Linked DNA regions of Arabidopsis thaliana. Each later gene encodes a partner of the first gene's protein in a complex. Each region holds a gene or a part of one and is shown in the gene's direction. Other genes may lie near its edges.

What was found. Proteins that work in one complex are often made in the same cells at the same time.
Region 2: the proteins of AT3G57710 (region 1) and ZAR1 are in contact, whole or in part, in a cryo-EM structure (PDB 6J5W), measured with the Arabidopsis thaliana proteins. Residues at the interface, in NP_191330.1 of Arabidopsis thaliana: Phe23 (codon at 1,895), Leu24 (codon at 1,898), Gly27 (codon at 1,907), Ser28 (codon at 1,910), Leu31 (codon at 1,919), Arg32 (codon at 1,922), Glu33 (codon at 1,925), Val35 (codon at 1,931), Ala36 (codon at 1,934), Asn39 (codon at 1,943), Gly40 (codon at 1,946), Lys41 (codon at 1,949), Ser42 (codon at 1,952), Ile43 (codon at 1,955), Pro44 (codon at 1,958), Ile45 (codon at 1,961), Arg46 (codon at 1,964), Ser47 (codon at 1,967), Asp81 (codon at 2,069), Arg82 (codon at 2,072), Tyr84 (codon at 2,078), Arg98 (codon at 2,120), Lys102 (codon at 2,132), Ser115 (codon at 2,171), Asn116 (codon at 2,174), His117 (codon at 2,177), Ser118 (codon at 2,180), Gln122 (codon at 2,192), Leu123 (codon at 2,195), Leu124 (codon at 2,198); in NP_190664.1 of Arabidopsis thaliana: Arg214 (codon at 2,911), Arg235 (codon at 2,974), Asn236 (codon at 2,977), Leu237 (codon at 2,980), Gly238 (codon at 2,983), Asp239 (codon at 2,986), Ala240 (codon at 2,989), Val242 (codon at 2,995), Arg251 (codon at 3,022), Gln255 (codon at 3,034), Tyr256 (codon at 3,037), Leu258 (codon at 3,043), Ile483 (codon at 3,718), Thr541 (codon at 3,892), Gly542 (codon at 3,895), Glu543 (codon at 3,898), Val544 (codon at 3,901), Lys546 (codon at 3,907), Lys568 (codon at 3,973), Ser569 (codon at 3,976), Ile570 (codon at 3,979), Asp572 (codon at 3,985), Asn595 (codon at 4,054), Thr596 (codon at 4,057), His597 (codon at 4,060), Pro598 (codon at 4,063), Ile600 (codon at 4,069), Tyr619 (codon at 4,126), Gln621 (codon at 4,132), Asn622 (codon at 4,135).

Annotation. Positions count from the first base shown.
Region 1 is NC_003074.8:21,384,153-21,389,116, reverse strand, and holds AT3G57710 (Protein kinase superfamily protein), read left to right. Parts: upstream 1-1,717; 5' UTR 1,718-1,828; coding exon 1,829-2,884; 3' UTR 2,885-3,177; coding exon of another isoform or gene 3,178-4,200; 3' UTR 4,201-4,441; downstream 4,442-4,964. Other genes in the region: AT3G57720 (Protein kinase superfamily protein), read right to left, coding at 272-1,351; AT3G57700 (Protein kinase superfamily protein), read right to left, coding at 3,178-4,200; AGP23 (arabinogalactan protein 23), read right to left, coding at 4,663-4,848.
Region 2 is NC_003074.8:18,933,856-18,939,300, forward strand, and holds ZAR1 (HOPZ-ACTIVATED RESISTANCE 1), read left to right. Parts: upstream 1-1,818; 5' UTR 1,819-2,032; exon of another isoform or gene 2,033-2,260; 5' UTR 2,261-2,271; coding exon 2,272-4,830; 3' UTR 4,831-4,944; downstream 4,945-5,445. Other genes in the region: AT3G50940 (P-loop containing nucleoside triphosphate hydrolases superfamily protein), read left to right, coding at 231-1,217, 1,305-1,673; PLP3a (thioredoxin domain PLP3A-like protein), read right to left, coding at 5,036-5,145, 5,231-5,328, 5,415-5,445.

The DNA of each region.
Region 1 (4,964 bases):
GCCATCTGAAGATAAGTCAATGCATTTGCAAACTCCACGGCAGTAAAGTTTCCTCCCCATTAACCTTAATAGCTCCTCGATGGTTCATAACTCCAAGTTCTGCATCTTGAAACACAAGAATCATAAAAGGAAACTCGAGACAACATCCTAATAGCTTGAGAAAGTTGCTGCGATTGCTCATGCGGTCACACAAGACAATGTCATTGTAAATCTCTTTCACTCCATAGTCTGGAACTTGGCTTTATAGTACAATACCAGAGAGGATCTGTAGCTATGATCTCCGAAATAATGTCTCAATCTGCTTGAGTTCTTTAGCTATTTGGATCATCTTTGGTCTGTTTTCATCTCTCAGCTCGCAGCATCTCAGCGCCAACACCACACACGCTTCCACATGCACTTTTTGAGCACTTGTAATGTCTTCCATCACCTTAGGATCTATTACTCCATCAAGCTGCCCATTCTCATGAAAGCCTTTCACGTAGCTAGCAATATGTTTGTAGTCCCCATCAGAGCTAGTGGATGCAAGTGCTGGTTTACCAGTGAGAATAACCATCAAGAAGACTCCAAAGCTGTACACGTCGGTATATTCCGTCACCATTTTCGTGGTATAATATACTGGATCAAGGTACCCGATTGTTCCCTGAACACATTCAACTTCTATTCTTGATTTTCCCTCAGGGAGGTTTATAGAGATAGAGAAATCAGACAACTTTGGGGTCCAATTCTCGTCCAAGAAAACATTCCTTGGCTTAATGTGTCTATGTATGAGGATCTTGGGGAATGCCATGTGAAGATAAGTCACAGCATTTGCAATCTCCTTTCCAATCTTCAACCTTAAACTCAAAGGCAATATAACTTCCTCCCCATTGACTATAACACCTCCTCTGTGATTCAAAACTCCATGTTCTGCATATTCAAACACAAGAACCGGAAGACTAAACTCAAGACAGAATCCTATAAGTTTAAGAAAGTTGTTGTGGTTGCTCATCCGAGCAGACAAGACAATTTCGTTGTAAACCTCTGCTACTCTGTATTGAGTAACTTTATACTCAGAGAATCTCTTGATCATGTAAGATCTATCTTCTATGATACCTTTGTACCATACATAAAACCCCTCTGCGGTTACAAAACAACTGGAACCGAAGTTACTTGTAGCTTTCAAGATCTGGTCAGAAGAAAAGTTACGTATAGGAATGGATTTACCGTTACAATCAGCAATAAGTTCTTTCAAGAAGATGCTTCCGTTGTCTAAGAACCACTTTTCTTCCTGAATGTCTTTTTCCTTTTCCTTCCTTTTCTCTAACGATCCAGATCTCAGACTCTGCTTCAACTTCTTCACCATCGATTTCATCAAACAAATACTGTTGTTTCAGTTTTCCTCTTTGAACAAGAAAGACTTAATATCTGAATGCATACAAGATGTTGAGTTACTACTCTTCCCGATTTGAAATTTGGAAACAAATTCCAACCATTGACGTGTTTTGATAGGGACTCCTCACATCCCATACAAACTGTTATCCATCAGCCTGTCGTAGAAAACTTTTTGGTTAGGCTTATTTTGTGTTCCCACCTTATTATCTTTTGGATGGGCTTATATTGTTTTCCCACCTTATGAGCTTTTAGTTGGGCTTTATTTTTCTATAGGCCCAGAAACTTGACCCAAGACTTTTTATTGCTTCTTCCTTTCTTATGACACACCGTTTTCAACCGAGAGTCGTTTGGGATCAGAAAAGAAATGGCTTTTGACACTTCAGAAGCTTTTAGGTAAGAAAGGTGTCCTCTTTATTCATCTCGCCAACAAAAGGTTGATACTTTGGTAAAGGAACTAATGAAGAAGCAGTATCTGAAATCTGGATCTGGGACAAGGAAGGAAAAGGACAAGGCGAAGAGGTGGTTCTTGGATAACGGAAGCATCTTCTTAAGAGAACTTGTAGCTGATTGTAACGGTAAATCCATTCCTATTCGCAGTTTTTCTCCTGAGCAGATATTGAAAGCCACCAACAATTTCGATTCTAGCTGTTTTGTCTCGCAAGATGTATACTATAAATGGTATAGAGGTGAAATTGAAGATAGATCTTACATGATCAAGAGATTCTCAGAGGATGAGATTACAGGAAAACGACATAGAGTTAAAGAGGTTTACAACGACATTGTCTTGTCTGCTCGGATGAGTAATCACAGTAACTTTCTTCAACTTTTAGGATGTTGTCTCGAGTTTCCTTTTCCGGTTCTTGTGTTTGAATTTGCAGAACATGGAGCTATGAATCAGCGAGGAGGTGTTATAGTTAATGGTGAAGAATCTTTATTGCCGTGGAGTGTACGGTTGAAGATTGGGAAAGAGATTGCTAATGCGGTGACTTATCTTCACACGGCATTCCCTAAGATCATCATACATAGAGATGTTAAACCGATGCATGTTTTCTTGGACAAGAATTGGACCGCAAAGTTGTCTGATTTATCCTTCTCAATATCTCTACCTGAGGGAAAATCGAGAATAGAAGCTGAATGGGTTCTAGGAACATTTGGGTACATCGATCCATTATATCATAAGACGTGTTTTGTGACTGAATATACAGATGTCTACAGCTTTGGAATCTGTTTGCTGGTTATTATTACTGGTAAACCGGCTATCATGACTATTTCTGATGGAGATCTCCAAGGTATTCTTAGCTTAGTGAGAGAGTTATGTGAGAATGGGAAGCTTGATGAAGTGATAGATCCGAGGTTGATGAAAGATATCACAAGTGGTCAAAGGTTGCAAGTGGAAGCATGTGTGGTGCTGGCTTTGAGATGCTGTAAGGAGAGAGATGAAGACAGACCAAAGATGATCCAAGTAGCTAAAGAACTCAAGCAGATTGAAGCATCATTGAAAAATTCTAGCTAGAGATCCGCAAGGAACTTTTTGGATATTGAGATATCTTCGCGGAGTAGGCATCACAAGAACATGACTGAAGATAGGAGCATCTTTGGTGCCCAAAAGAAGAGGTATCAGTTGCTTGGACTATATAAATCTAAGTAAACAATTCTTGCATTGTGTAGCAAGGAAACTCAGATTCTTACATACAACATATTTAATAAAAGCTCGATCAAAAACAAGATACAGTGATTGCAATTTTCACTACTAAGCCTGTATAATAGATAGACCTGTTTCAAGTCGCATTAGAAAAGGTTGCATGGTCATATATGTTTCTCTATCTTCTTAAGCTCTTTTGCAACGTCTATCATGCGAGGCACGTTCTCTCCTGGTCTGAATCTTACACATCTAAAAGCAAGCTCAATGAACGCTTCCATTTGCAGTCTTGAATGCTTGGGAATGTCATCACTCGTGCTGTCCAATATCGACGGGTCTATGAGTTCAGTCAACAAACCTCGCTCCAGAAACTTCCCAACATAGACAGGCAATACAGGAAGATAAACAGCGACTTCTGAATTGTATTCAGACTTTCCTGTCAAAATAATTAGCATGATGATCCCAAGACTATAGATGTCGACATTCTCGGTGACCAAACCTGTATTAAAGTAATCAGGCTCGATATAGCTTGATGTCCTGCAAACCATGTCATTTACGCCAGTTTCACCCTCTGGAAGCACTATACTGAGGCTGAAAGAAGAGAGCTTAGCGGACCAATTCTCGTCAAGGAAAATATTTGCAAGCTTTAAATCCCTATGGATTATAGTCCTGGGGAATTCAGTATGAAGATACGCTACAGCATCTGCAATCTCCTTGGCGATTCTCAACCTTACATTCCAAGGGAATGACCGGACGCCTTCTTTTCCACATCTTATACAGTTTAGAGCTCCATGTTCTGGATATTCACACACGAGAACCGGACGAGGAAACTCTAGACAACACCCCAAGAGCTTGAGAACATTCTTATGGCTACTCATCAAAGATGAAACAGCAATGTCACGGTAAAAGTTGTCAGCGTCGAAAACAGAACAGTCTTGGAATTTCTTGATCAGTACGGGTCTGTTTTCAATCATGCCTTTGTACCACACGAATCTGTCTTCAGAGATTACGTAGTTCCAGTCAAAGTGATTTGTAGCTTGTAGGATTTGGTCGGAAGAAAACGTACGGATGGGATTGTATATACCTCCTGAAGTTGCAATGAGTTCTTCCAACAGTAAGCTCCCATTCTTCTGGAGATTGATCTCCTCTTCTTTCTTCTGCTTCTTCTTCTTTCTGAACAGACGCAACATCTCTAAACTCAGAAAAGAATATTGTCTTGTGAGTTGTGAAGAAAGGGACACAAGAAAGAAAGAGAGTCGGAGACGCAAGAACAAATCAAGTCAACGAGGTCACTTCAAAAGTCAACAACTTCTCCTTTTTTTTGGTCTAAGTCAACAACTTATGAAACATAATGTGAATCATAAGATTTTTCACTTGATGACATTTTGTAATGACTAATTTACAAATATGTTGAATATTTTTTTATAATCATTATTATAAGCTATAATATTTGTCCAATAACCAGTTTTGAAAATCAAGGGACCATCCACATTTCAAAAACCAGTAGTCAAAAATTAAAATGAACATAATCAAGAAGAGAAAATTTATTCTTGAATTACTTTCTCTGTTTTATTAATAAACAAGTGAAATGGAAATAAATAGGAAATGAATAAGATCACATAATGAGTTGTTATTACATAATGAAAGATAGCTTAGTGCAAGTAGTAGCTGAAGAGGGAGACAAGGGAAGCTCCAACCAAAGAGCCAAGAGCTGGCAACGCAGCCGAGGCGGCGGATGCAGGTCCTGGTGCCGGAGCTCCGACTTCCTCAGCAGCCATGACGGCGGTCATGGAGGCAGCAGCGAAAAGCACACCGCAAGCAATCTTCTTCATCTCCATTGTTTGAGACCTGAAAGGCTTTTCTTTTCTTCTTTTTATTTAGTTTTTGTGCTTTTTAAAGTTCTTGCAGGTCTGAGGAATATGGATGGTGTTGATCGGGAATTTATATGTGTGGA
Region 2 (5,445 bases), 2.5 Mb from region 1:
AACATTTTTTTTTTTTTACTTGTTAAGATTCCAATTTGTGTGCTCATCGTAAAATTATCAAAAGAATAGCATCGTTTGTTTAACCTAATCAGATTTATCCCCACGTAACCTAGTAACAAATACAGTACTATTGTTCTATAATCAGATTTTTTTTTGGATTAGTTTCTTGTCTCTTTGATTTATGAGAACCGACTTGAATGTATTTATTTTATTTTTGATGATTGAAGGAGATGAGTTCCTCTAGTGAATCTCATCTAGCCACCGCCAAAACAGCTCTCACAGCGGTTGCATCAGTTGCTGCAGCCGCAATACTAGCTCGATCAGTGGTTCAAGATTACATGCCAAACGAGGTTCATGAATATATCTCTCACGGCTTTCGCAGATTCTTCAGCTACTTCTCTTATCAGATGACAGCTGTAATAGAAGAATTTGGAGGTTTTGAACACAACCAAGTGTTTGAAGCTGCAGAGGCTTATCTCTCCACCAAGATATCTAATTCCACTAGAAGAATCAAAGTTAACAAACTTGAGAAACAGAGCAATTATAGTGTTACTGTTGAACGTGATGAGGAAGTTGTTGATATTTTTGATGGCGTCAAGCTTAGTTGGATCCTTGTATGTCGCCATGTCGATAAAAAGGATTTTCGTAACCCGAGAGATCTCAACTCCACTTTGAAATCAGAAGTGCGTAGTTACGAGCTTAGTTTCCGAAAGAAGTTCAAGAACATGGTTCTTGAATCTTATTTACCGTTTGTTGTGGAACAAGCTGCTTCTATTAAACAAAAGTTTAAAACATTGAAGATCTTCACCGTTGATTCTTACTCCGTGGAGTGGACCTCTGTGACTCTAGATCATCCTTCCACGTTTCGCACTCTCGCTCTGGATCCCGAGGTGAAGAAAAACTTGGTGGAGGATCTTGATCGATTCGTGCAGCGGAAAGGCTTTTACGGGAGAGTTGGAAAAGCTTGGAAGAGAGGTTATTTGTTGTATGGTCCTCCCGGTACTGGAAAATCAAGCTTGATCGCAGCTATAGCTAATCATCTTAACTTCGATATCTATGACTTAGACTTGACATCACTTAACAACAATGCTGAGCTACGGAGGTTACTTATGTCTACTGCAAATCGTTCCATTCTAGTTGTGGAAGATATAGATTGTTCAATCGAGTTAAAAGATCGGTCTACTGATCAAGAAAACAACGATCCGTTACATAAAACGGTGATGCATTTTGATTCACTATCAGTTATGTTGTTATGTGATCTTTTGCTTATTAGCATTACTAATGTTTTGGTTAGTCATTTTCAGGTCACACTCTCTGGTCTATTGAATTTTGTAGACGGACTATGGTCAAGTTGTGGTAACGAGCGGATTATAGTGTTTACGACTAACTACAGAGAAAAATTGGATCCAGCATTGTTGAGGCCAGGACGTATGGACATGCACATTCACATGTCGTATTGCACACCAGCTGCTTTTAAGGTTTTGGCTTCGAATTATCTCGAGATTCAAGATCATATACTTTTCGAGCAGATTGAAGAATTTATCCGAGAAATTGAAGTTACACCAGCAGAAGTAGCTGAACAACTGATGAGGAGTGACTCTGTGGATAAAGTACTCCAAGGACTTGTTGAGTTCTTAAAAGCCAAGAAGCAAATAGATAATTCAAAAGCTTAGAAGAAATTTAGTTCTTTTATTTGTTTCTTTGTTAAACACTATCATGCAATTATTGGTTATAAAATGTTACAGAAAGTGAAATCATTTTTTTTTTTCCTAAGTGAAATGCGGATATTGTTTTATGAGGTCAGAACATGTCTAAACTCAATGATAAGATTCTAAAGTAGATTGAGACAAGTTTCGTAGTCGGCAGCAGTAACCAAGAAAACGAGTAAGGTTGACTCTTGACTTGTTAAACCATTGACTTCAATTTCGATAAAGTCTCTATGTAAGCTCATTTTTCTGAAACAAGTTTTGCTAAAAAAATCCAAAGATCTGAAGCTTCAGATCCTTCTCGGCTAAGGCTAAGTCACAACCTTGTAAGTTTACTTTACTTTGGTTAGATTTGTTTCAATGTTCTAGGATTCTACATGTTTCTTGAGAAGATATGGATTAGTTAAAGAATAATCCAATCTTTTGGTTATTGAGATTCTATAGTCGTTGGTTGATTGATTTTTGGAAAGTTCAATCTAGTGATGATACACATAACCGATTGAATTATTGCTTGGTTATAGTTTACCAATTAGAGATATTTCTTGAAGTTGCAGGGTCTGAGTAAATGGTGGACGCTGTTGTAACAGTGTTTTTAGAGAAAACCTTGAACATCCTCGAAGAAAAAGGCCGAACCGTATCGGACTACCGAAAACAGTTGGAAGATTTGCAAAGCGAATTGAAATATATGCAGTCTTTTCTCAAGGATGCAGAGAGGCAGAAGAGAACTAATGAAACGTTGCGTACTCTTGTTGCGGATTTACGAGAACTGGTTTACGAAGCTGAGGATATACTTGTGGATTGTCAGCTCGCGGATGGTGATGATGGGAACGAGCAAAGGTCATCAAATGCGTGGCTTTCGCGGCTTCATCCTGCCCGGGTTCCGTTGCAGTACAAGAAAAGCAAACGTTTGCAAGAGATCAATGAGAGGATAACGAAAATAAAGAGTCAAGTAGAGCCTTATTTCGAATTCATAACGCCGAGTAATGTTGGAAGAGATAATGGAACTGATCGGTGGAGCTCTCCGGTGTATGATCATACTCAGGTGGTTGGTTTGGAAGGAGATAAAAGAAAAATCAAGGAGTGGCTCTTTCGATCAAACGACAGCCAGCTTTTGATAATGGCCTTTGTTGGGATGGGAGGGCTAGGTAAAACTACAATCGCTCAAGAAGTGTTCAATGACAAAGAGATCGAACATCGTTTCGAAAGAAGGATATGGGTGTCTGTGTCCCAGACTTTTACTGAAGAACAGATCATGAGAAGCATATTGAGGAACTTGGGGGACGCGAGTGTTGGAGATGATATTGGAACATTGCTGAGAAAAATCCAGCAGTATCTTTTGGGGAAAAGGTACTTGATAGTTATGGACGATGTATGGGACAAGAATTTGAGCTGGTGGGACAAGATCTACCAAGGACTGCCTAGAGGACAAGGAGGTAGCGTTATCGTGACCACAAGGTCGGAATCTGTAGCGAAAAGGGTGCAAGCGAGAGACGACAAGACTCACCGTCCAGAGCTCCTTAGTCCTGATAACAGTTGGCTGCTGTTTTGTAATGTGGCATTTGCAGCAAATGACGGTACTTGTGAGCGTCCCGAGCTAGAGGATGTTGGCAAGGAGATTGTAACGAAATGCAAAGGTTTGCCTTTGACAATCAAAGCGGTTGGTGGGTTACTTCTGTGCAAAGACCATGTCTATCATGAATGGAGACGAATTGCAGAGCATTTTCAGGATGAGCTAAGAGGAAACACTTCTGAAACTGACAATGTTATGTCTTCTCTGCAGTTGAGCTACGATGAACTCCCTTCCCACCTTAAGTCGTGCATTCTCACGCTTTCGCTCTATCCAGAAGACTGTGTTATACCAAAACAACAACTAGTACATGGATGGATCGGAGAAGGTTTTGTCATGTGGAGAAACGGAAGATCTGCAACTGAATCTGGAGAAGACTGCTTTTCCGGGCTCACAAACAGGTGTCTAATAGAAGTTGTAGACAAAACCTATAGCGGAACCATCATCACTTGCAAGATTCATGACATGGTTCGTGATTTGGTGATCGATATAGCCAAGAAGGATTCGTTCTCTAACCCGGAAGGCCTCAACTGTCGTCACCTTGGGATTAGTGGAAACTTTGATGAGAAGCAGATCAAAGTTAACCATAAGCTGAGAGGCGTAGTGTCAACAACTAAGACAGGTGAAGTGAACAAGCTCAACTCAGACTTAGCTAAGAAATTCACAGACTGCAAATATCTTCGGGTTCTCGATATCTCGAAATCCATATTTGATGCTCCTCTGTCTGAGATTTTGGATGAGATTGCAAGCCTTCAACACTTAGCATGTCTTAGTTTGAGCAACACACATCCGTTGATCCAGTTTCCTCGTTCCATGGAAGATCTCCACAACCTTCAGATTCTAGACGCAAGCTACTGTCAGAATCTGAAACAACTTCAACCTTGCATCGTCTTGTTCAAGAAACTCCTTGTACTTGACATGACGAACTGTGGATCCCTTGAATGCTTCCCCAAGGGTATCGGAAGTCTCGTGAAGCTCGAAGTTCTGTTGGGATTTAAGCCAGCCAGGTCCAACAATGGGTGCAAGCTCAGTGAAGTGAAAAATCTCACAAACCTTCGGAAACTTGGTCTTTCTCTGACTCGTGGCGATCAGATAGAAGAGGAGGAGCTTGATTCTTTGATAAACCTAAGCAAGCTGATGTCCATTTCGATCAACTGCTATGATAGCTACGGCGATGATCTCATAACCAAAATAGACGCCCTTACTCCTCCACACCAGCTCCATGAGCTTTCTCTACAATTCTATCCTGGAAAGTCGAGTCCATCGTGGTTGAGTCCTCACAAGCTTCCGATGTTGAGGTACATGTCAATATGTTCAGGTAATTTGGTGAAAATGCAGGAACCATTCTGGGGAAACGAGAATACTCACTGGAGAATTGAAGGTTTAATGTTAAGTTCATTGTCGGACCTAGACATGGACTGGGAAGTGCTGCAACAGTCAATGCCGTACCTGAGGACCGTGACCGCAAACTGGTGTCCAGAGCTAGAGTCTTTCGCGATTGAAGATGTTGGCTTTAGAGGCGGAGTGTGGATGAAAACACCATTGCACAGAACCTGATGAAACGTTTTAAGCAACTAGATCAATGTTTATTAAACAGTGACAATAAGTTGGTGTATTACATATACCTTGATACAATGTAATGTTGCTTTGACCGTTTGGATTTCATATCGCAATTTTCTTTTCTAATAATCATATAACAAACGAGCAAAAAGGGAAAACAGAGACTAGCAGCAATGGCAGATCTTTGATGTCAACTGCTTGATCAGTCAGAATCAGAGTCCAGATTCTCTGAAGACCTAACAGACCTCCGTATGCTCTCTTGATATTCGGCGTCTTCATCATCTTCCTCTTTCTTCTTCTTGCTGAGCATTCCTGTTAAAGATTTGCACTCTTTAAGCAAAAATTCTCTAACTGGGCCGTTATAATAAAAAAAAGGTGGGACCGAGGTTCTTCATACCCTTTTTAAGAAGAACGTTCTCTAGTTTATTCGTTGTGAAATCGTCCTTGGTTCCCAGATCCTGGAACCCAACTAGCCTATCCATCGCAACTCCCTTGCTAAGAATGGTAAAGAAACTCGTACTTTATGAGTATACACCTAACAACAAACCCTGTATGTAAGAAGGAATAGAAAGAGGCGAAACCTGAAAAGCACAACGCAAGGCAAAGTCTTTA